Kluyveromyces lactis: one gene and its partners. The main gene of each other region encodes a partner of the protein of the gene in region 3 in a complex. Links are inferred from orthologs where the notes say so. Each region holds a gene or a part of one and is shown on either strand. Other genes may lie near its edges. The genes, in order: MAK31, MAK3 and MAK10.

Evidence for each region.
Region 1: the proteins of MAK10 (region 3) and MAK31 are in contact, whole or in part, in a crystal structure (PDB 6YGA), measured with the Saccharomyces cerevisiae proteins. The link is inferred for Kluyveromyces lactis from reciprocal best matches to the Saccharomyces cerevisiae genes MAK10 and MAK31. Residues at the interface, in NP_010861.3 of Saccharomyces cerevisiae: Asp4, Ser5, Gly8, Ser9, Ile12, Asp15, Phe16, Asp17, Gln18, Leu19, Val20, Asp21, Val22, Thr23, Leu25, Phe26, Asp27, Leu29, Cys30, Leu33, Lys34, Pro35, Ala37, Ile38, Val39, Lys40, Asp41, Phe44, Glu48, Gly49; in NP_009948.1 of Saccharomyces cerevisiae: Leu4, Lys5, Leu6, Ser7, Phe9, Ile10, Leu14, Ile15, Leu18, Thr19, Glu20, Arg22, Ile23, Leu24, Val25, Leu28, Val29, Ala30, Val31, Asp32, Ala33, Met35, Leu37, Leu38, Glu44, Arg45, Gly47, Ser48, Arg51, Met52.
Region 2: the proteins of MAK10 (region 3) and MAK3 are in contact, whole or in part, in a crystal structure (PDB 6YGB), measured with the Saccharomyces cerevisiae proteins. The link is inferred for Kluyveromyces lactis from reciprocal best matches to the Saccharomyces cerevisiae genes MAK10 and MAK3. Residues at the interface, in NP_010861.3 of Saccharomyces cerevisiae: Pro35, Glu36, Ala37, Ile38, Asp45, Leu46, Phe47, Gly49, Thr50, Ser52, Leu53, Glu54, Lys59, Leu60, Asp104, Tyr105, Gln106, Glu173, Asp174, Pro284, Arg286, Thr289, Gln332, Asn403, Cys405, Gln409, Leu455, Asp456, Ile457, Lys459; in NP_015376.1 of Saccharomyces cerevisiae: Ile10, Arg11, Lys20, Asp24, Leu27, Ser28, Glu29, Pro30, Tyr31, Ser32, Ile33, Tyr34, Val35, Arg37, Tyr38, Asn41, Gln42, Lys98, Glu101, Ile104, Asp105, Gln108, Glu131, Gly132, Met133, Gly134, Ile136, Arg137, Met138, Lys139.

Annotation. Positions count from the first base shown.
Region 1 is NC_006037.1:973,870-980,228, forward strand, and holds MAK31 (Mak31p), read left to right. Parts: upstream 1-1,584; coding exon 1,585-1,860; downstream 1,861-6,359. Other genes in the region: E2 ubiquitin-conjugating protein UBC8, read right to left, coding at 1-489, 656-660; HTL1 (Htl1p), read right to left, coding at 962-1,207; MAK32 (Mak32p), read right to left, coding at 1,917-2,975; protein anchor VAC8, read right to left, coding at 4,226-5,965. UniProt on the Saccharomyces cerevisiae protein: Component of the NatC N-terminal acetyltransferase, which associates with the ribosome to acetylate nascent protein chains in a cotranslational manner.
Region 2 is NC_006038.1:1,056,533-1,063,207, forward strand, and holds MAK3 (peptide alpha-N-acetyltransferase MAK3), read right to left. Parts: upstream 1,862-6,675; coding exon 1,325-1,861; downstream 1-1,324. Other genes in the region: POL30 (proliferating cell nuclear antigen), read left to right, coding at 462-1,238; autophagy protein ATG11, read left to right, coding at 2,326-5,466; TAH18 (NAPDH-dependent diflavin reductase), read right to left, coding at 5,468-6,675.
Region 3 is NC_006037.1:170,728-179,018, forward strand, and holds MAK10 (Mak10p), read right to left. Parts: upstream 5,251-8,291; coding exon 2,890-5,250; downstream 1-2,889. Other genes in the region: KLLA0_A01870g (acyl-CoA-binding domain-containing protein), read right to left, coding at 1-258; RPL12B (60S ribosomal protein uL11), read right to left, coding at 1,505-2,002; AFG1 (Afg1p), read left to right, coding at 6,088-7,611; mRNA splicing protein SYF1, read right to left, coding at 7,731-8,291.

The DNA of each region.
Region 1 (6,359 bases), about 800 kb from region 3:
TCATCGGAACTGTTCCATTTCCCAAACTGCTGTATGTATTTTTCCTTGGTAGCGTATTTGTTGATGTATTCATGTATCTTTTGTTCATACATATCTTTATCCTTCAGTTGCAACGTTGCTGCTTCGTTATTCAAAGGGTCCGACCCATTTGGCTCCTTCAACAACCCTGGGATCATCCATTCCACGATGTTTAAAAGGTCGTATAGCGGAGACCACGTAGAGTTGATCACGTCCAAACAGATCGACCCGGATGCAGCATCGATGTTCGGATGGAATATCTTGTTGACAAACCCTATACTGGGCGATTTGTAAGGATAGTTGTCAGGTAACTCAACGTGTAACCTCCACACCCCCTTTTCATACGGTGTATCCTTGGGACCATGAAATTTTATATGGAACTCTTGCATCTTATCTTCAACCAACTCAACGTCATGATCACTCATCAAAAGTTTCATGACGTCCGTTTCGATCCTCCTTTTTGAATTAGAACTGATTTCAAAAATGTAAACTTGTCGTTTATACACAAGTATATCGTGTAACGAGCCATTCAAGATTATAGTTAGTATTCTGAACAGATCATTCAAACTTTAGTCATAAAAGATACTGAGACACAGCATCTTAAAAAAAAGAAAAAACTCCATTTCAACGAACATACCTCATCTTTAATTAATAAGCTTGACCGTAGCGTGCCTATCGAATACAATAACGCGATATCAGCACCAAACGATTCTATTATCGTTGTCTTAACGCCTGGAACAGCAAAAGATGATGAGTGCTTTCCTTGTTGAAGGGGTTAGCAACTTAAAAGGATCTTTTTGAAGTTCACTTTCCACAATTTTCAAATTCAATGATGGCAGAAGACAGGAAGTCACGTGACAGGAAGAGCAAAAAAAATAGAATACAATGCACAAAAGAGAACCTCTCGGAATTGGGCAGCTTGTATCATAGCATCCCCGTCTTATTAATCTGATTCTGATTTCAAAGTCTCAACTTCTTGTTGTACCGATTGAAGCCTTTTCCTCAGAGAAGCCAGTTTCTTTTCGCGGTCTTCTGACGAACCAAGAAACAATTCGGTTCTGCTACTGTCGTCCAACAAGTTGAAAAGCTCCACCATATTAGCTCTTCTAGACAATAGGTCTTCTGCTGTGATTGTCTTGAGATTGACTTTCAAATCTTGTGGTTGTTCGGTTCCTTGCGTGGTGGTCATTGCGAAATACGATAATACTTTGATAAAACACTGACAAGATGTCGAAAATAACCAGAAGACACAATGGTTGCAGCTAATACGAGTAAAGCTTTCTGAAATGATATCAATTCCAGCGGATACTGAGTCGTTGATACTGAGTCGTTGATACTGAGTTGCTTAGTGAGAAAGAACGAGGATTTCAACGAGCATCTGAACAGATGTAGATGTTTATATCTGTTTAAAACTAGAGATTTCCCATTAAAAAAAAAAAATACGTAAAAGTATATGAAATGAGTTTAGTGCAGAGATTGAAATCTGGCAAACTACCTCAAAGATGAGAAACTGGGCAACGGCAACGCATCAACCAGTTATCATTATCACTCGCATAATTTACATTAATGACAGATTTATCTAACGTACACTTACACGATTTACTGAGCGAAACTTTGTACATAAACTTGGATCAGAAACGATCTTTGACCGGGAAGCTCATCGCTATTGATTGCAAAGCAAACCTTCTACTGGATGAAGTGGTCGAAAATAATGACGGCCATGTACGGAAGATGGGTTTAGTAAGTGTACCATTTGTTTCTGTACGGTCCGTAAAAGTTAGAAGGGAACTGGTCGACACTATCAATGCTCTGAAATTGAATATTTCTTCCCAATACGTATGATAATACAAATTAAAATAAAAAACTGATCTAACTGTTCCCAATAGGTACCTACAGACTTAATATTTCATTGGTTGAAGAGAGTTCAATATTTCACTGTGGCCCTGCTTCAGTTCATAAGTGGATAAATAATATAATAATCTATCTGCAAAAGTCGTTTTATTCCAGTGCATTCCATTGTGAGATGGTACACCGATCTGTTCGATGGCACAACCTGCAGCAATATTGCCACATATACTGGCAATTGAAATGTCTTTACACATGGCGTATGCGAATGCAAATGCTCCAAGGAAAGTATTTCCGCCTCCTGTTGGATCAATGACACATTCTGGAGTCTTGTAATGGTATGCTGGGAAATGGATAATGTCATCGTTTGATGGATTTTTATTGCAAATTAAGGCCAATGACCCTTTTTTACCACATCTGAGGACACAAATGTTACCAGGTTTAATCAATGCTGCTAATTTCAATAATATTGTGCTGCAATCCGAAAGTTCAGTTGGCTCTGTTTCACCCAGCATCCTAGCGCCTTCTTCCGCATTTGGCGAAAAGATGAAATGGTATGGTCCGTTGAGCAACTTCTTAATCCCTTCGAGGTGCTCAACGTTACACAAATCTGGTATTGGTTCCCATATAAACGTTTGACCTGTTTTCAGAGTTCCCTCAAATGACAACTCTTCGGCAAGCTTATCCAGAATATCGGCCACTCTATCAGCAGAACATAGCAAATGATAGCATGAAACTCTTTGTACTGCTTTGACACCGAACGACTCGCACCAGTCAGAAACATCTATTCTTTTCTTTGGCGCTAGATATTTGAATGATCTAAAATCATTCGGACCATATACGTTATAACCTCTTGTAGTTAATCTTTCATTGTCATCTCGAAACACACAACCCGTGTCCCAAGATTCGATAGTCTCCGTCAGTTGCTTAGGGAAATCCATTCCACGATCAACAATCCATAGCAGTTCCTTGCGCAGAGATAGGTCAGTACAGCATATTGATGCGCCTAACATGGCATACGTCCCACCTCCACCTAGTACGTCGTAATAGTGCGATGACGCCGTCTCGATCTCATCGATGATAAGCATCCCATTGGTAGTAAGAAGACCCATATTGGCAATGACTGCTTAATTCCGTTTACACCTGAAAATTATAGTGATGGGCGGTAGGTCTCATTATACTGCAGTTGACCATGTATATTTCTTATCAGAGTTCTTTATAACTTCGAAATAAATTCTTTGATAATGTTTCGTTCTTATCTCTGAGCATCAACACCTGACTAGTAAGAACCGGGCAATTATTGCATCATTGAAGACGAATCTATGTCTATGGAAAACAGATAGTAACAAAGATAGCATTGGAATATGTTGTAATGCTGGTAGGGAAGAAGTAGGTTTAAAAAGATGGACCTCTATTGACAACTCTCTACTCAAATATAGATGGAACGAGAATTAATAACAAACATCGTTAATTTGTTAGCGCCGTGGCGCAGTGGAAGCGCGCAGGGCTCATAACCCTGATGTCCTCGGATCGAAACCGAGCGGCGCTATTATTACTTTTTAGTTTTTTATCATCAATCAAACAGATAAAGGTCTTGTATGCCAAAGGAAACTATCAAACGCTACATAAACGACCACACCCTATAACGTGAATTTGTCGTTGTGCGTTGCCATGTCCCAAAGGAGTTTTCTTATTTGAAACATACATTATTAGATTAAATTATGATTATACAATGCATAAGTGTTACCTTATAATTATTAAATACAGCGGGATCTTTCTCTCTGAAATATCAATGGATCAGCGAAAAGTACATGTATGCTATCTCTAATTCATTCTTCTAAACTTTCTTTTAAGGGCAGGTCTTGTTACGTGTTTGACTTGGAATATGTAGAAGTAGCCTGGGGAATATAAAATAAATGAAAATGATACCAATGGTATTTTGTGGATACAATATGATCAATAAAGTGAAAGTAGGAAAGAAAAATTACACTTAATATCGTTTCAATAGAGTGAAGACAATAGAGTCAAAGTACCAATAAACTCAGGCGTTAGACATAATATGAGGCGGGTCTAGCAAACATTAATGTGATAAACAACAATAAAGAAAAAAACAGAAGAGGAATGGACTACAGGATAGTGAACAATGCAAAATGGGGAGGACTTTAAAAGACAAACAAAACAAAATAGAAAGAAAAGAAATATGGCAGATGGGAAAAGAGAATTGAAAATATTCTTCACTGTCCCAGGTCAAAAGAGCCAGCTTGTAATTAATTTTTATAATTTTTAATTTTTTAATATTTTTTTTCTTGTAGAAATAATTTCTTGTGTTTTTAATTTTTGGAGCTGTTAAGAATCTATCATATCATACTAAGAATTGAATAATTTGTTGAGTAATGTTGTACAACTCGAAAGAAGCATCTTCCTTTTCACTAGACTGCTTGTTAGATCTCCCATTGCCTTCTATATTGTTCGAATTTCCATTGTGATCAATGTTGGTATCTTGTCCATCTTGCATGTATTCCCTAGCCACAGCGTAGTTTTCATCAGCGATTTTCTTGACCCCGTTGACGAGTTTTTGATCTTCTTTAATTAACTTGTAAATGGTTTCGTTGTGACATTCAAATAGTTGTAAAATGGTCCATAGAGCAATATGTTCATAGGTAGGGAAGTCACTAGACAAGAATCTGATCAAGAAACCCTTGATACCATCGTTTGGTTGACCCCAGTACTCCAATATTTTCTCTAAATTGCTGACCCTAGAGATCAAGTTTGCTACAGCAGCAGCAGAGTTACCAGAGATCTCTTGGTCCTGGGACATTGTCATTGGGATCAAAACTTTTAGTACGTCTTGTTGCAAAAGATCATATTTAGTATTATCTGAAAGTGCCAAGATAGCAAAGCAAGCACTAATTTCACTTTGAACGCTGATGGGACATGTCAAGGCAAGTTGCTTGAATTTTTCAATTACACCAGATTGGAAGAACTCTGCTCTATTTTTTTCAGATGAAGCAGCCAAGTTTCTTAAAGTTGAAACAGCATGACATTGAATTTCTTCTGATTCTTGGTAATCAAGCAATTTTACTAAAGGTGGTAGAAATCCGGCATCTACAATTAGACCTTCGTTTAATGGATGGATGGAAATATTTCTGATACATGCGACGCTGGCCAAGACTAATGGTAAAGAATCCGACTGAATCAATTGAACCAAGTCTGGTAATCCACCAGCTCTAACAATCTCCAATTGGTAGTTGGTATCTGAAGCTAAGTTTCTCAAGGCCAAAGTAGCTTGACATTTCACACGAGGTGAAGTAGAGTTCATCAAAGATACAAGCTTGGTGACCAGTTTTGGTGCATGCTTTGAAAGGTATCTTCTATTGGACTCATCGACAGCAATGTTTGACAAAGCTGTCGTACAGTAATATTGAACGTCAGCGTCCATGCTGGAGAGTAAAGAGACAAGAACTGGGACTGCACCAGCATCGACCAATTCCTTTCTGTTTTCTCCAGAGTGAGTCATATTTAACAAAGCTCCAGTAGCATTTCTTTGAACTCTGATATTTGAAGATCTAGCCAACTTTGTTAATGGTACCAAGGCACCCGATTGGGCAATTTCAATCTTATTGTCATCTTGAGTGGCCAAGTTGGTAATACACCCGACAGCATTACACTGCACTTCCACGTTATCAGATTTCATTTGCTCAATCAAGGGTTCCAATCCACCCATTTCCACAATCAACAACTTATTTTCATTGTTAACAGCCAAATTACCCAACGCAGCACACGATGCAATCCTAATTTGTGGATCTGGGTTGGTCAATAGCATTAATATCGGCTCCAAAACGTCTCTGCTTACCGGACTAACATACTTCTCAGTAATCTCTGCAAACGCCAATGCAGCACTTCTTTGTAAATTCAAATTATCAGAATAAACCAACGTTGTTAAAGCCCGTAACGGTTTCCCCGAATAGAAATCGTATTGGTCCTTATTTTCTAAAAACTCCAACAACGACGTCACTGCTTCCCTTTCATTTTCTGCAATGGGCAACCCTGTCGAATCCTCGAGAGAACTTTCACCTCTCAAACAACTACAGCATAACCCCATAGCCTTGTATTGTAATATTTATCTTCCTTTTACAGTTATAGTAATTTTCTTTTTTTCTTTTCTCTTCCCTGTCTCAAACTTTCTTTAATATGTTCGTTTAATTCAGTTTATTAATCCTCGAAACGTTAAGAGACAAAACAAAACAGACTAAACTCTACACTCACGAAACACAGCTAACTTTAAATGTCACGTTCAACAACCCAACTGCACTTCTTGTCTCTGCTTTATTTATTCGTTTCCTCTTATAATTCCGTTCTCTCAATTTTGCACACAAAACCGGATACACACAGAACACTCACAAGCGCGCGCGTCTCTCTCTCTCTCTCTCTCTATATCTCAAATCTTTTTCAACCTGACTAACCCTGTGCAAACACAAAAATAACCAGTACAGAAG
Region 2 (6,675 bases), on a different chromosome or scaffold from region 3:
GGGTCTTTCAGACCCTTTTCTTTTCTCACTCACTTTGTTCTTTGATATTTTTGTAAACCTTGCCCTGTTTGAATCTTCTCACCGACACATGTGTCTTTATAAATGTATAACTGTTTATCTTATCTATCTTGGGATATATTTTGTAATATTAATTGGCTAAAGTGATGATGTATGTTTGATTGTTGGCAGGTAGGTGGCTCTTTGCGAGCCCGAGTTGAGGACATGGTATTAATAGTCACGTGATAGATTACCCGGATATATTTCCAGCCAAACGCGTGGTTTAGGAAAGGAAGTAAAAAAAAAAAAAAAAGAACGCGTCTCACTTTTTTTTACCCAGAACAATTTTCAATGTTATATAACTATATCTTTACTCCTTCAAGGCCGTGAAACTACTGCTCCTCTCGATAGTCCAAGAGTATTCACTTCTCACCTCTGACATCAAACAGACCTACCTATTATCAATGCTAGAAGCTAAATTCACAGAAGCTGGGTTATTCAAAAGAATTATCGATTCCTTTAGAGACTGTGTCCAATTGATTAACTTCAATTGTTCAGAAAAGGGTATCGCTGCACAAGCCGTCGATGACTCTCGTGTCCTCCTTGTCTCTCTTTCCATCAATGTAGAAGCATTTGAAGAGTTTAGAGCGGACAGAAATGTCGTGCTAGGTTGCGATTTGACGAACTTGAGTAAGATTCTTCGTTGTGGTAACAATTCGGACAATCTAACGCTTATCGCTGAAGATTCTCCAGATTCTATTCTAATCTTATTCGAAGATACAAAAAGAGACCGTGTCAGTGAATACTCTTTAAAATTGATGGAAATCGAAACAGATTTCTTGGAGATCTCTGATATGAAATATGAATCCTATATTACAATGCCATCTGCTGATTTCGCGAAGACCGTACGTGACTTAAGTCAATTGAGTGATTCTATTAACATCTTAGTCACTAAGGATACCATCAAATTCGCCGCAGAAGGTGATATCGGAAGTGGGTCCATTGTTGTGAAACCTTTCACCGATTTGGATCATCCTGAAAGTTCAATTAAAGTTACCATAGAAAAACCAGTAGATTTAAGGTTCGGTGCTAAATATTTAAACGACATCATTAAGGGGTCCTCTCTATCAGATACAATCACTATAAAATTATCGGAAGAAGCGCCAGCCCTTTTCCAATTCGATATCTCAAGCGGTAATTTGCAATTCTATTTGGCTCCAAAGTTCGATGAAGAGGAATGAAATCTCTTTTCGCAATGCTATATATATATATATATTGTGTGTGTATTAAAATGACAATTACTGATATAAAATCAATTCAATTTACTTTAGAGTATGGTGTCGGTAGGAAAGGAATCCATCCCCAGGAATGTGCTTCTCACACAACTTTTCTCTGTAATCGGTAAAATGAGTTTAAACGCATCTCCCTGGTTCAAATAATACCGGAATAATCTCTTCATTCTGATGAAGCCCATATTCTCGTATAAATGCAAAGCAGCTGCATTGCTGCATTCAGTCTCCAACATAATCTCGTCACATTTTTCATCAATCATAGTATCTATAGCTAAGGTAATTAGTTTTTTCGCTATCCCACGGCCTCTATATTGTTTCTCCACTGCTAACATGCCAATGTATCCTCTTAACCGCACTCCATTATGAGTATCGCTCTTGCATACTATACATCCTATGGGCTTACCCGATCCTTCTGCCCATGCCAAATACGTTAGGTTCGGCCATTGGTTTAGGAAAAATCTGTACACGTATATCGAATATGGCTCACTGAGATCCTCATCGATCAATTTCTTGATGGTGGAAAACTCCATGTCATTACTGATATCGAATCGTGTGTACCTTATTTCGACCATCCTTTGCTTAGTTTATCTGCAGTATACTTTCTTATTAATTTTTAATTAGTTATATCAATGAGAGTAGATGCTGCCGAAGCTAGCGAATATAAAAAGCTTTACTTAAAACTGTTTATCTCATCATCTGGAGGTTTAAAACCAAATTTTTATAATAAAAGCATATCAGTCACGTGCTCTTGCTTCACCAAACTGATTCGAAAAAAGATTATATGGACCCCCCGGTAAGTTTTATAGGTGAGAAAACCTGTTACATAGTTTTTCAGTCCCCTGACGTTTATCGGCTCTTATTCCACTTGTTGCTTACGGCTTTAGTACTCCAGATTAGATATATCTCAGCATTTAAAGAATACTCATGATATAGAATCCTGTGAGCTAACACCCCCCATTTCATCATCATTAAATCGACATTGTCCCTTTATTTCTTTCCAAAGTCTTAAGGTTACAATCTGATAATTTTATTAATAATGCCGCCATGCAAGTTGATATGTGCTACATCAGGAGTTTCACACCAATTATCTAATGTTTATTTCCCTAGTTTCTTAGATTTGAAACAGTTTGCAAGTGATACTTTCCAGATACCGCTCGATGACATACTTCTATTGTTACCTTATGGAATGATATTGAAGAAAGCAGGATGGGATTCCAGAAAGCTGCAACAAGAAGGATTGGAAGAAATATACGTATTTGACCGTGGAATATTCAATGAGGAGATCGAGTTTTCCCCAAAGCCAAGGTTCCAACTTTTCAAACCTTTGCCATCGCCGATAAGCGATTCGTTACAGTTGGATAAAAATGTCATTCTACGGAATTTAGGGTGGTTGAAGGCTTTGCAATCAGACGTTGAATTTTTCCAGGACGTTATAAAAGAAACTTATCAAGACGTTCAACGGTTATTAGAGTGTGGTACTGTTATGCTTGAGTATTTGAAAAACTACTGCTATGAAGTGGAGGTGCTGTATAATGGCAACGTTGATTTTCTTAACAAGCTTCACGAAGATGGTGCCTCAAATCAATGGCATTCCTTTTATGATAATATTCTCGGCAATATTAAAGTTTCTAATCAGTTATTATCATCATTTTTCAATTATAGCGAGCTAACAGAGATCGAGGATTCCATTCACCGTCTGGATCGTGAACTAAATGCGAAGTTAAAGGAGTTAAAGAAAAGTATTGATGAATGCTACCAGCAGAGAACACAGTTAATCTCAGATTTAGATGATGTGAAAAAAAATTCAGTTGTCAGTTCTGATGATATGGACAACCAAATGGTTGAACGATTTAAAGAAATGGCTACAGAGATTGAGCTTGTATCAAATCAATATAAAGAAGAGGCTTCTAAAGATGCTTCAAAAGAGAAGTTTGAAACATTCAAAAGTGTACATGTCCCCAAATTACAAACAATTTCGCAAGCAATGTTCAATAAAGCTTCCACGAATTTAGATACAAAAGCTACTGTCCAGCAGAAGTTGCAACAGTTGTACCTTTCCGTTGCAAAATCGCAGATGAGCGTAATAATGGTGAAGTCGGTGTTAACTAAAGACGTTAAGACCAATATGAAGTTTTTGAAGAATGAAGAACTGAAATTATCTCAAGTATTGGATTTGCCTATGTGTTATGGATTGTATTTGATTGAGTTATACAGAGAGCAGCTCTGGACAGACCGTTACTCTCAACTTCGACAACAACATGAATCTTCATTGCAGCATCTTTTGGATGACGAAGTACGACAAAGAAACTCTTGGTACAAAGATTTCCAATGGATAACTCGATTTCTAGATGTTGATAGTTTGCTACCATCATCAGTATACATTCCGTCCATAAGTGATCATAAACAGGTGACATTGTCTCAGATTAAAGATTATATTAATCAACTTGCTTCATTGAACTTAGGTGAACCTACAATTAATTTACTTAAGTCAAAAGTCTCGCAGGCGGAGCTGACAGGCTTGCATTTACCTACAGATTACGCGCTCTCGAAGGACTCGGAGCTTATCATTGAAGGATACAAGGCTCGTATCAAAAAGCTAGAACATTTATTACTTGATGCACAGTTCCATCAGTACGACTCATGGCCAGCTGGCATTCTGAATAAGGAAACTGCAATGGTCCAAATGTTCCGCAATAGTACCGTGAGCACAAAGTTACAGCAAAGTTCAACATTCGATCTCCCAAGTTCCAAACAACAACACGAATCAAATAAAACCTTCGAGGAATTTCAAAACCTGCAAAAGGATATAAGCAAATACTCTGAATTAACCAAGACCCTTGAAACTGAACTTTCAACACTTAAAAGTCAACTTTCCCATATGGAGGTCGAGAAAAATGCTTACAGAGAATCCATGACAAATTTAAACAAAGAATTATCAACGTTGTTGATTGAACGCGAAAACTTCTATTCTGAAATGAATTCTCGTTCGGAGAATTTCAAGAAGCATTTAGGATCCCTCTTTGAGCAAAATGAGGAACTTGTAAGGGAATCTGAAGAATCCCGACGGAAATCCGAGGATTTAAACAAAATGAAAGAAGATCTTCTTGTCAATATGGCAACCCAAGAAGTTCAAGCAGAACAGGAACGGGCTTCCTTGCAAGAAGAAGTTGAAAGTCTTAAAAAAGATCTTAACCAATTGCAAATATCAAAAAGCAAAACAATTGATGCAGAGTTTATCAACTTTAATAAGCAATTGGAAAAAACTTTATATGATGTTTTCCAAGGTAGTATTTTCATTTTGGCGAGTATCGGGTTGTTACTTTCCAAAGATCAAGATGGAAACTTTCAAATTGTTCGCGTCAAAGGTTTAAGAAAAGATCTGGATTCAAGTTTGGCTGATATGAATAGTTCCATGGCAAAAAGTGTAATTGCACAAGAAATAAAGAGTACTTTCGAATCTATAAAGGATCAGATTGACTACAAACCTCATGAAAATTTCATTACCTACATAGAAAAACTATTTGGTAACCAATTGTTCGAAACGTCAGTGATCCGCAGGTTCAATGATATCGAAAGTTTGGCGAAAAAGCTTAGGAAAGAGAACAAGAATAAAAAACTCCTTTTGCAGAAAAGTGCTAGAGACAAAATTACAATATATAACTTCCAACCGGGAGATCTTGCTCTTTTTTTACCAATCAACGATCAGGAATTGCTATTAAATTCTTCAATATCGTCGCTAAATTCTTCATTTTCATCCATTGATTTAAACTCATCTACACAGTCTGTTATGCAACGTCCAAATGTTGTCAAGTCTGATATTGCAGCTAGCATTCTTAACGGAAGCTCTGCTTCTATCACAGAAAATATTCCATTAAGTAAAGCGAACAGGAATCCTGCACTCAACGCTAATGGCAGACCGGATACATTCAATGTTAACACCCAAGATTCGGCCAAGAAGCATGTTGTATGGGCAATTTTCACTGCGACAAATACTGATATCAAATACGTTCTTAGAAACTCAACGTCTAATTACGAATTATTGAAAGATAGGGAATGGGCAATGGGTAGAATCTCGGCCTTGGAAAAGCATGTGGTTGGAGATGATTCAAAGAACCCCTTTAAGTTTCCAAGAAATACCGTGTGGTATGAAGTTGACGCTTTTTTCAATCTTGACTGAACTACCATGTCTCTTGCATATACCTGTCAGTTCTTTCCATTTCTTTTAGATAATGCTCGGCTTCTTCTGCGTTTTCGAAGTTTCCATGTTTTTTCAGGATCTCAACTATAGTCAACCTAACCTGAACTGGCATTTTACCGGAGGATCCACAAATATATACTATGGCAGATTTTTTCAAAATTAGGTCTGCTATTAGACTAGATTGATTCCACAACTGATCTTGAACATACTTAGCATGAGGAGAATTTATGGGATCCCGCGAAAAACAAGTGAATAAATTAATTTTACCTTCTTTCTTCCACATAGATAACGTATCTTCATATAAAAAGTCCTTATCCTTCATTCTGTTACCAAAAAATAAGTACTGATCCTTGAATAAATTAGACTCGATCAAGCACTTCATTGGTGCGAGACCTACCCCCGGAGAAGTCATGATGATAGGTTTGCCAATAATATCTTCATGAAGTAAATGATTATTTTGAAGTTTATAACGAACTGTATCGTTTTCGGTTAATGTAAGTAGGTAGTTCGTGCATAGTCCTTTCCGTACCTTTCTTAACAAAGTCTTATAACGAACAATAGCAATAGTTAGTTCAACATTAGGATCAGATGGTGCACTTGAGATGGAATAAAATCTGGGCTTTATCATGGGTAGATAATCTAATGCGAACTCCCATGGAAGTTTTAAGAATTCAAAATCCTGTATAACCTCTAATACTGATCTTCTTGGTCTATTGCAATAATCATACAAGTCCTGTAGGTCTTGTCCATACCCGAACTGTCTTAGTTTATCCCTCTGTTGTTCTAATAGCTCTTGATCGGTTGGTCTATCTTCGTGAGCATTTGCAAAAGTCCAAGTTTTCATGAAGAAGCTCTGCCTAGGTATACTGACGATATCAAAATGATATTTTAACAAGGTTCTTAGAGTAAGTGGTTTCACAACACCACCATCTCTGAACCGATCACAATTTTCCAGGTCTGTTATTGTAAGAAGTTCATCAGCGACCTTCTTCCAATGAGGTTGAGCTTCGAGGAATAATTCAACGTCATTGTCTGAATTTTCGGGATATAAAGAAACTGTATCGCCTGGATGATAGGCTTCATGATCCTCGGTTTCAAACACAAATTGTCGAACGTCCTGAAAATGATCTTTAGCAGTTATTTGGTTGTTTTTCTTAACGGTTCCATGTCTTATTGTCTCATCTCCAA
Region 3 (8,291 bases):
TGCCTCCCATTTACGTAAGGCTAAGTTATAATCCGGTGATGTAGGATTACCGTCCGGCTTATCCAATATATGGCTGACGTCTCCTTCTGTGGACTGTTTGAACAATGCATATAGTTGAATCCTCACATTCGCTGGTGGTCTTGGTAATGAGTGATACCCTTTTTGAGAGGAAAGGGTTTGAATTGTAACAATAGCTTTCTCAAACACACGATCTACAGAGTCATCGGACATTGTACTTTCTTGTAGCGGTAACGGCATCAACGGTCTTCCAGCTTGTCCTTGTTATTTCTTATTTTACTTTAAGGTGTACAACATTGAACGGTCTGCATGGTTTTCATTTTGTTATCTTTTTCTTTAAGTCATGATGATGCTCTTTAATACAGTGGAAAGGATACATCATCAACGCTTGAAAAGTAAGAGGCGTATCGGATGGACCGCTGTCGGTGCTTTAAGATACCTGTTAGAGTATTACAGCGCTCCACAAGGTTACAATGGGAATCAACGTCCACTGCATGGAAAAAAAACTATGTGCAAAAATACTATATAACCATAAGAATCAGGGCCCACAAGTAAACGATTTTCTAATAGAAGCACCTGCTTCTCATAAGTCAATCAATCACATGAGAGAAAGAACTATATTTGTACAGTCCCATTTTGCTATCAAGTACTAAACAATAGCATGAAAACCCTTAAAAGTCACAGAAAAGTATACTTCATTTCAAATTATGATCCGACAAGTGAAACAAGAGAAATACAATGTCGAAAGAATATAATGTTTGTCAGTGAAATGGACCAATATAACCAACTCACAAAAGAGATTTCAGGTATATCTTGGTGAGTAATAGACAAAGATTTAATATTGTTTGCTATTAAATTGGATCTTAGTACGTTGGAAAATAAAAGTATCAATACCATTGAAAAAACTCGAAAGAACTATACTTCGGATATGCTGCCACAAATATCAGATGATGGATCAGCAAAACTTCTTACTAAGTGTACTAAGAAACAAGATATCTCACTTGCTCCGTTTCCACAAAATGAGAAAACCGATACCATTCTTCAATCATAGCAGAACTCCAAAATTCAATCGAGAAATAATCAATGATTCACTTTAACCAAGCTCCAGAGTGTAGACAAACGTTTTGAAGTATATGGATCAAATTTGATATGAAACGATAAACTTTGATTTTTTGGAAAATTCATGTTGTTCTGTTGTTTAGTTCCAAGATGGATGGAATAATTGTACTGTTCAAATATAGTTCCTGTGATGTGATAAAAAGTTAGTGATTGGGCCGGAACGTTCTGTTTATTAGAATAATGAAAAGTGGAATATAATTCCTGTTAATAGTAAGTACCTTGATTCATATGGATGGATGGAATGGTAGAGAGTTAAAACGAAAATAGATTAAGTTTTTGTTTATTGTAATAAAAACCCTAGACTAGAAAATACAGAAATGATGGAATGCATTTATCCTCTTTCAGACAATTGGTGATTGGATATAATTTAGTTTTCTGGAATTTCAATTTCACCAGCGTTGATAGCTTCGATGATGTCGTGTGGGTTCTTGTAGTTAACACGACAACCGACGGATTGAGCAGTACCCAAGATTTCCTTGGTGACAGAAGCCAAGTTCTTACCGAAAGACTTTTCTCTCATTTGCTTAGCAACTTCGATGATGTCTTCCAATTGCAAGTTACCACTGTGTTTGACGTTCTTGTCCTTCTTTCTGTCTCTTGGTGGTTCCTTCAAAGCGGTGATAACCAAAGAGGAAGCGGATGGAACAACAGAAGCAGTAGCTTGTCTGTTTTGGATCTTCAATTGAACAGTAACCTTGATACCCTTGAAATCCTTGGTGGCCTTGGCGATATCTTCACCAACCTTCTTTGGGGACAAACCCAATGGACCAATCTTTGGAGCCAAAGCAGCGGAAGCACCAACTTCACCACCGACAGCTCTCAAGTACAAGTACTTGACTTCATTTGGATCAAACTTTGGAGGCATTTTGTGTCTAATTCGTCTATCCTACTTGGGTATGGAGACTTCGTAAACCAAGAAGTAATATTAAAGTAAAGCTGATATAAAACAACTAATAATAATATATAATAATATATGCAATGGATAAATTAACTACCAATCTTGAATAATAATCGTTATTGTAATTGAAAAGTTCCTTTACTTTTACAGATTTACCATTGTGTTGAAACGTTGGATTATCCCCCCAGTGCTCGTCTTTGGAAAATTTCCTGTAGGCTCGAACTGGGCAGACTGCCACCTGGGGAAACGGCTAGGCAGGGGAGTTCTGTCTAGCTTCCAGGAAGGCGGGCAGTAATGGGAACCACTAGGCAGAGGCCCTGTCTGGGTTTTCCTTCCCAGTGGCATCCAAGCCCACTATCCTAGAAAGAATTGGGATGTTAGGCAAGGGGATGCAACATAGATTCCACCAAGGAATTTTCGAAATTTGACAAAAAGGACGCAAATTTCTTGGTACGAAGAACGGAACAAAAGTAAGAGAGTATGGGCCAGAAAGTTGCTCGCAGAGCTGAGATCGTTGCACATCTAATGAGGCCTGCTTGGTAGTGCTTTTGGTCTTGTCCTTTGGCTGGGATTACGCAGGGAATCGAATAATATGCCTATGTCACGTGATATCAGGATTTCTCTCAAAACTTCTCTTTCGGGAACTTTTTTAAGGGGAATGAAAATACACCCATACATATTATACAAAATATATGGAGGCACTGATGTTGCACAGTCTCATGTTTTCTTGTTTATTTTCGTCTGTGAACCCTTCACGGTCACTATCACACAGGTAAATTAGGGTTCATACAATTACCGATTCAGATGTACACTGATATTTCTATATGGCCGTTTATATACATGCAATATCACCATTATGTGGTGTGTGGTAAAGCATTTCTTGCTTTCTTAGGTGAAATTGTCAACAATGGGAAATAGTAGCAACCGTTAGGTGTGAATTTGAGTTCAACGTCGTAAGTGGCATGCAAGTCATGTGACTTCAAATCTTCCGACAATTTCGTCTTTAACACGGATGCATTGACACTCAATGCAACAGTTGAGTTAAGCATTGATTTATACCATTGTAACGCCGGTTCTTTCACGTGTTTTGTGCCGGTAGAAACTGGAGAATCATCTGTTTCTCCAGTCTCTATGGTTTGTATGATAGTAGATAGTGCACTCTTGGCAGATTCTAATTCAGTATTCATAAAGTTCAGAAGTTTGGGTATCTTGGAATGAATTGATGGTGGTTCAATGACAAAATCGTTTAATGACTTTTGGAATTGTTCAAATGTGGGGATCTCGGGTATTCCAATTGAGGAAAAGGTCTTAAATCTAAGTTTATGTATGAGTCTATCGGAACTGAATCGGGTAGACACATCATTCTTAGAATCTATTACGTTGAAAGATTTAAGTAGTGCAAATTGGAATACTTGAGCCAGGGAGAGAGACTTAAATATTGTGCATTTCATGAAAAAGAAATTGACAGTTCTCTCGTTTAGTCTTAGTTGAGGTAAAACATTATCTGTTAAATGTCTATAGCGCGCTTTAGCATTCTCTTTCTTTTCGCCGGCCTTGAGTTTCTTTATTCTCTTATTGTAATTCAAAATGTAACTGATCTTCTGCAACAGAAACTCGTGCAATCTTTTCAAGTTTGATTCCAAGTGACTCGACAAGTAATAACAGAACCAGTACTGAGTAAAGGATTCCCAAGGCTTGTAAACTTCCAAATGAAATCCTTCTAAAGTGAATTCTATCATCATAAGCAACTTTGTAGTGTAAATCCATGTTGAAACTGGCATCAATGGGATATTCCCCATGTTTGTAATGCTATCTACAATTCCCATTGATTGCCATTGGGTTTCATATTGCTCAAATTGCGCTTGAACGGAGTCCCAGTCGAGTAATAGTCTATTAAATCCTTGCCGATGCCTACATGAATTTTGTGGCATATTTTGATACCAACGAAGGAGGCAATATGAGAGTTCATTCAAGGCTTCTATCATATTATCGCGATCTGTTGTTTGCTCGCGGCTGGATATTACATCGTACAATGCTGTTCCTGCTAATGAGAACTCGTAAAGGTGCATATCCTTGAACGTGTTAAACCGAAACTTGTCTAAGATGGTGTCTTCTCTAATTAAATATGATTGCAGTAACGCACGAGCCATGACTGTCCTTTGTCTAATTCGGTTGAAAAACCAAACATATTGTCTGATTTCGAACGCTGTATTGCAATCTTTTACCGATAATGCCGCTATGATATCTCTCATGAATTCAGTATAAGAGACATATTCGTCTCCCTTAGGTTCAAAGAGATCCTTTGGTGGGAAGTTATTATCACGCCTCTTTTGAATGCCCTTGGAAAAACAACCAGGAGGGTATGAATGCTGCTTAGTAGTATAATCGTCTTGTACCAATGAAGAAATAATATCTAGTGATTTTTGCAAAGGTAGTAAGTCTGAAGAAACCGAAGACTGACATGAGGGATAATGATAATTGGGTAAGTGCAACAAATGTTTGACTAAATCAACAAGTTTTTGTAGATGCGTAGATTCTGAGTATGACTGAACTAACAGTTGCAACGAAGAGTTCAATAAATCTATTACTTCTTTTGTGTCCACGCCAGAGAGCATATCCAAACTCATAACGTTACAGTTCAAGTCTTCCTCCTCGTAAACACCACCATCTTTCAAAACTTTGGAAGTGAACTTTATGAATGAACAAACACCTATCACAAAGCTGCACAAGACTTGATCATACAAGGGGTCGCGCGTGCGTAATCCTTGGAACGATTGTAACGATGAAACCGGGTTCGAAGTGTATAATTCCATAAGAAATTCGACGTATCGACAACTTAGCACCGTAGTGGGTAGAGTTTGGTAATCATGAAGCCAATTCATCAAAGAGCGACATAATCGATCACAAACCGCAGTGACATAATCAAGCCTTTCTCCATTATTTGAGTCCCCGTATGGTACATTGCAGTCGAATTCCAACTCTTCAGGGCATAACTCAATAAGGCTTGTATCTAATTTCACGTTGCATACTTCCAATGCATAAGTCCCTTCGAACAGATTGAACGTAGCTTCTTTGACCACTGTCTCTGGTGCCAACTTCGCTGCTAGGGCCTTTAAATGATCTGTGATGTCTATAAACTGGGCTTCGTTTTTAGGATCCATTCGATGATCTAGCGTTAAATTCGCCAACTCTGCAATGTTATTCTCAACCACCATCAATAATCAGGAATGCTGGGAAACAAATTTAGTTGCCCCAAGATATCAAACCCTAAAATCTTGCAATGTCTAGTGCTACCGCAACTGTATATTCTGTTCTAATCTCTCTAATTCATGATATCGTGTGGAAGCCTTAAGCTATCTCACAAGTTAAATTAGGATTTAAACATTTAGTAGAAAAGAGGTAATAAACTCTACACAACATAAAACAAAAGTATCGGACCTAAGAAAAGTCAAGGTACTGTGAGAGCCATGCATTGTACAAACTATTCCCAGTTGCTAGAGGCACTTGCAAGTCTGGTACCCCACACTGTTTCTTAAAAACGTATGTTCGTTACGTTATTATGTACGCAAGAGCGGAGTATCTATTGGTAAATATCGACATGCATGCTAACAGTCATTCTCGAACAATTGATGATCTCTAGTTTTCACCAACCAAAGCAAACAAAGCTGTCAGTCATAGCTTTACAAGTCGAATTCAGGGTATTCAGATAGCGACAGGGAGGGGTGGGGAGGAAGACCTTTAATAGATAGAGATCAGCAGCATGTTTCTACTGTAGAATAAGAACCCGAAATCGGAGAAAAAAAATTAAAGCGGCCTCAGAGTGGGGGACATTGAGAAACTATCACTTCAAACCGATGCCCCACTAACAAGTATTTAAGTAAAGGCCATGGTGAATGTTAGATATTCACTTCTTAGCAATTGGAAACGTTTTGTATTAGAGCTGCACTTCCGAATTACTATTTGTCCATAAATAATACACTAGTTACTCTATCGTTAATTAAGGTAGATACAATCTATTGCAATTGGGAAAAGGTCATGTACAAGGACAAGCGATGCTGATATTTTCACAGGGTTGTAAGAAGGTTCTTGTCAGTAGAGTTGGCAGCGGTCTTGTTGAAAGACCAGGGTATACCTTTGGACTTTTCCAACAAGTATTGGCACAGCGGTGGGTTTCTCAATCTGCGGATGTTACGGAAACACCGTTGTCGAAATATGACGAGTTGGTAAAGCTCGGAAAATTAAGAGATGATCCGTATCAGCGGAGTATCATCAAATCCTTAGGTCATTTGCACGACTCTTTGGTTTCGTACAATCCGGAACCAGTACAACCACCAAGCGTGCTAGATCAAGTCGGCTGGAAAACAGGGTTTCTTGGGAAATTATTTGCAAGGAAAGAGAAGTATTCGACGGAGGGTGTTCCTAAGGGTATATATTTATACGGTGATGTAGGATGTGGAAAGACGATGTTGATGGAGTTGTTCTATTTGACAGTTCCTCCAGCTTTGTCAAAGAAACGTATACATTTCCATCAGTTCATGCAGTATGTGCATAAAAGATCTCATGACATTATATCCGAACAAAATTTCGATGCTTTGGGTGAAGCTAAGGGAAGAGATATCGACCCAATCCCATTTCTAGCGGCAGAGATTGCAAACACTTCTAGAGTGCTTTGTTTCGACGAGTTTCAAGTGACGGACGTGGCAGATGCCATGATTTTACGGAGGTTAATTACTACATTGCTTTCCAAAGAGTACGGTGTTGTACTCTTTGCAACGAGTAACAGAAAGCCAGATGATCTTTACATCAATGGTGTTCAAAGAGAATCGTTTGTTCCATGTATTGAACTGATAAAGGAAAGAACCGAAGTGGTATTGTTGGATTCTCCTACCGATTATCGTAAGATTCCAAGACCAATTTCATCTGTTTATTACTATCCAAGTCATAATTTATCCTATTTTTCAAAAGAGTGTGAATTGGCGAGGAAATTACACGTACAGCAATGGTATAGTTATTTTGCCCAACTGCATCGTCCCAGTAAGTCAGAAAATGGCCATGACATTGTATATAACTATCCATTGACTATCTGGGGTAGACAATTACTCGTTCCTAAATGTACACCTGGGAGAGTAGCACAATTCACCTTTAAACAATTATGTGGAGAACCTTTGGCTGCTGGTGACTATTTAACTTTGGCTAACTCATTCAAGTCCTTTGTTGTCACAGATTTGCCATACTTAACCATATACGTACGTGACGAAGTTAGACGGTTCATTACATTCTTGGATGCAGTTTACGATAACGGTGGTAAATTAGCTACCACTGGTGCAGATGACTTCACCTCACTATTCGTGGAACCAGAAGATATTGTCAACGACTATGAGCTTAAACCAGCAGATCAAATGAAACATGAAGATGAACCTGAAGTAGAGGATGAATTGGTCAGTAAACACGGATTTTCTAAGGATATTGCCAAAAAAGCACAGATTTTCGCATTAGATGAAGAACGGTTTGCATTTGCAAGAGCCCTAAGTAGATTATCCCACATGAGTTCAACTGATTGGGTCGAAAAACAGTAAGATACTAGTGTTTTTGTATGTTACACGTCATCAAAGAAAGACAATACGACATCTTCCAAAACAAAACATAAGAGATTGATCGATATGCCATTATCAACTTTAATCAATATATATCCATTTTATAGACCTAAATCAATTTCAGCCGTATTTGAGTATCCTTTATCTTCTGCGCTTGGTGGTCCGCTTCCACTAATTTTCGCAGTTGACGCCCTAAATTCGATGCTATCTGCATGTCTGGATACTTCCTCTGTATTTACTTTCATTGTGTCCTCTAGGAACCTACGTGCTTTTAGCATGTTCTTGAACGAGTCTTTTGTACCGTGCATAGTTTCGAAATTCCTCCAGAAATCCCAAAGTTCTTCATTCTGTGCGGGCTTCAGTAATTTGCTCCCGTAGTCTAACAATGCTCTACAACGAGCAACCTCATTACGCGATTCTTCTAAGATAGCAAATGGAAGTAGAAACTTGATTGCTTTAGAATTGGGCAATGTTTCTATACATTCTTCATATAGTTTTCTGGTGTGATTGACGTCCAATTGTTTTTCACTTCTATTGATGCATTCTTCCCATAAAGTACATTTACTTTCAAGATCCGAAATATTCTTGGCTCCTTTGTGCAAAATCTCGACACTTCTCTCGTGGAAACCAAGGTTTAACTCAAAGTCGCTGTACTTTTCAAA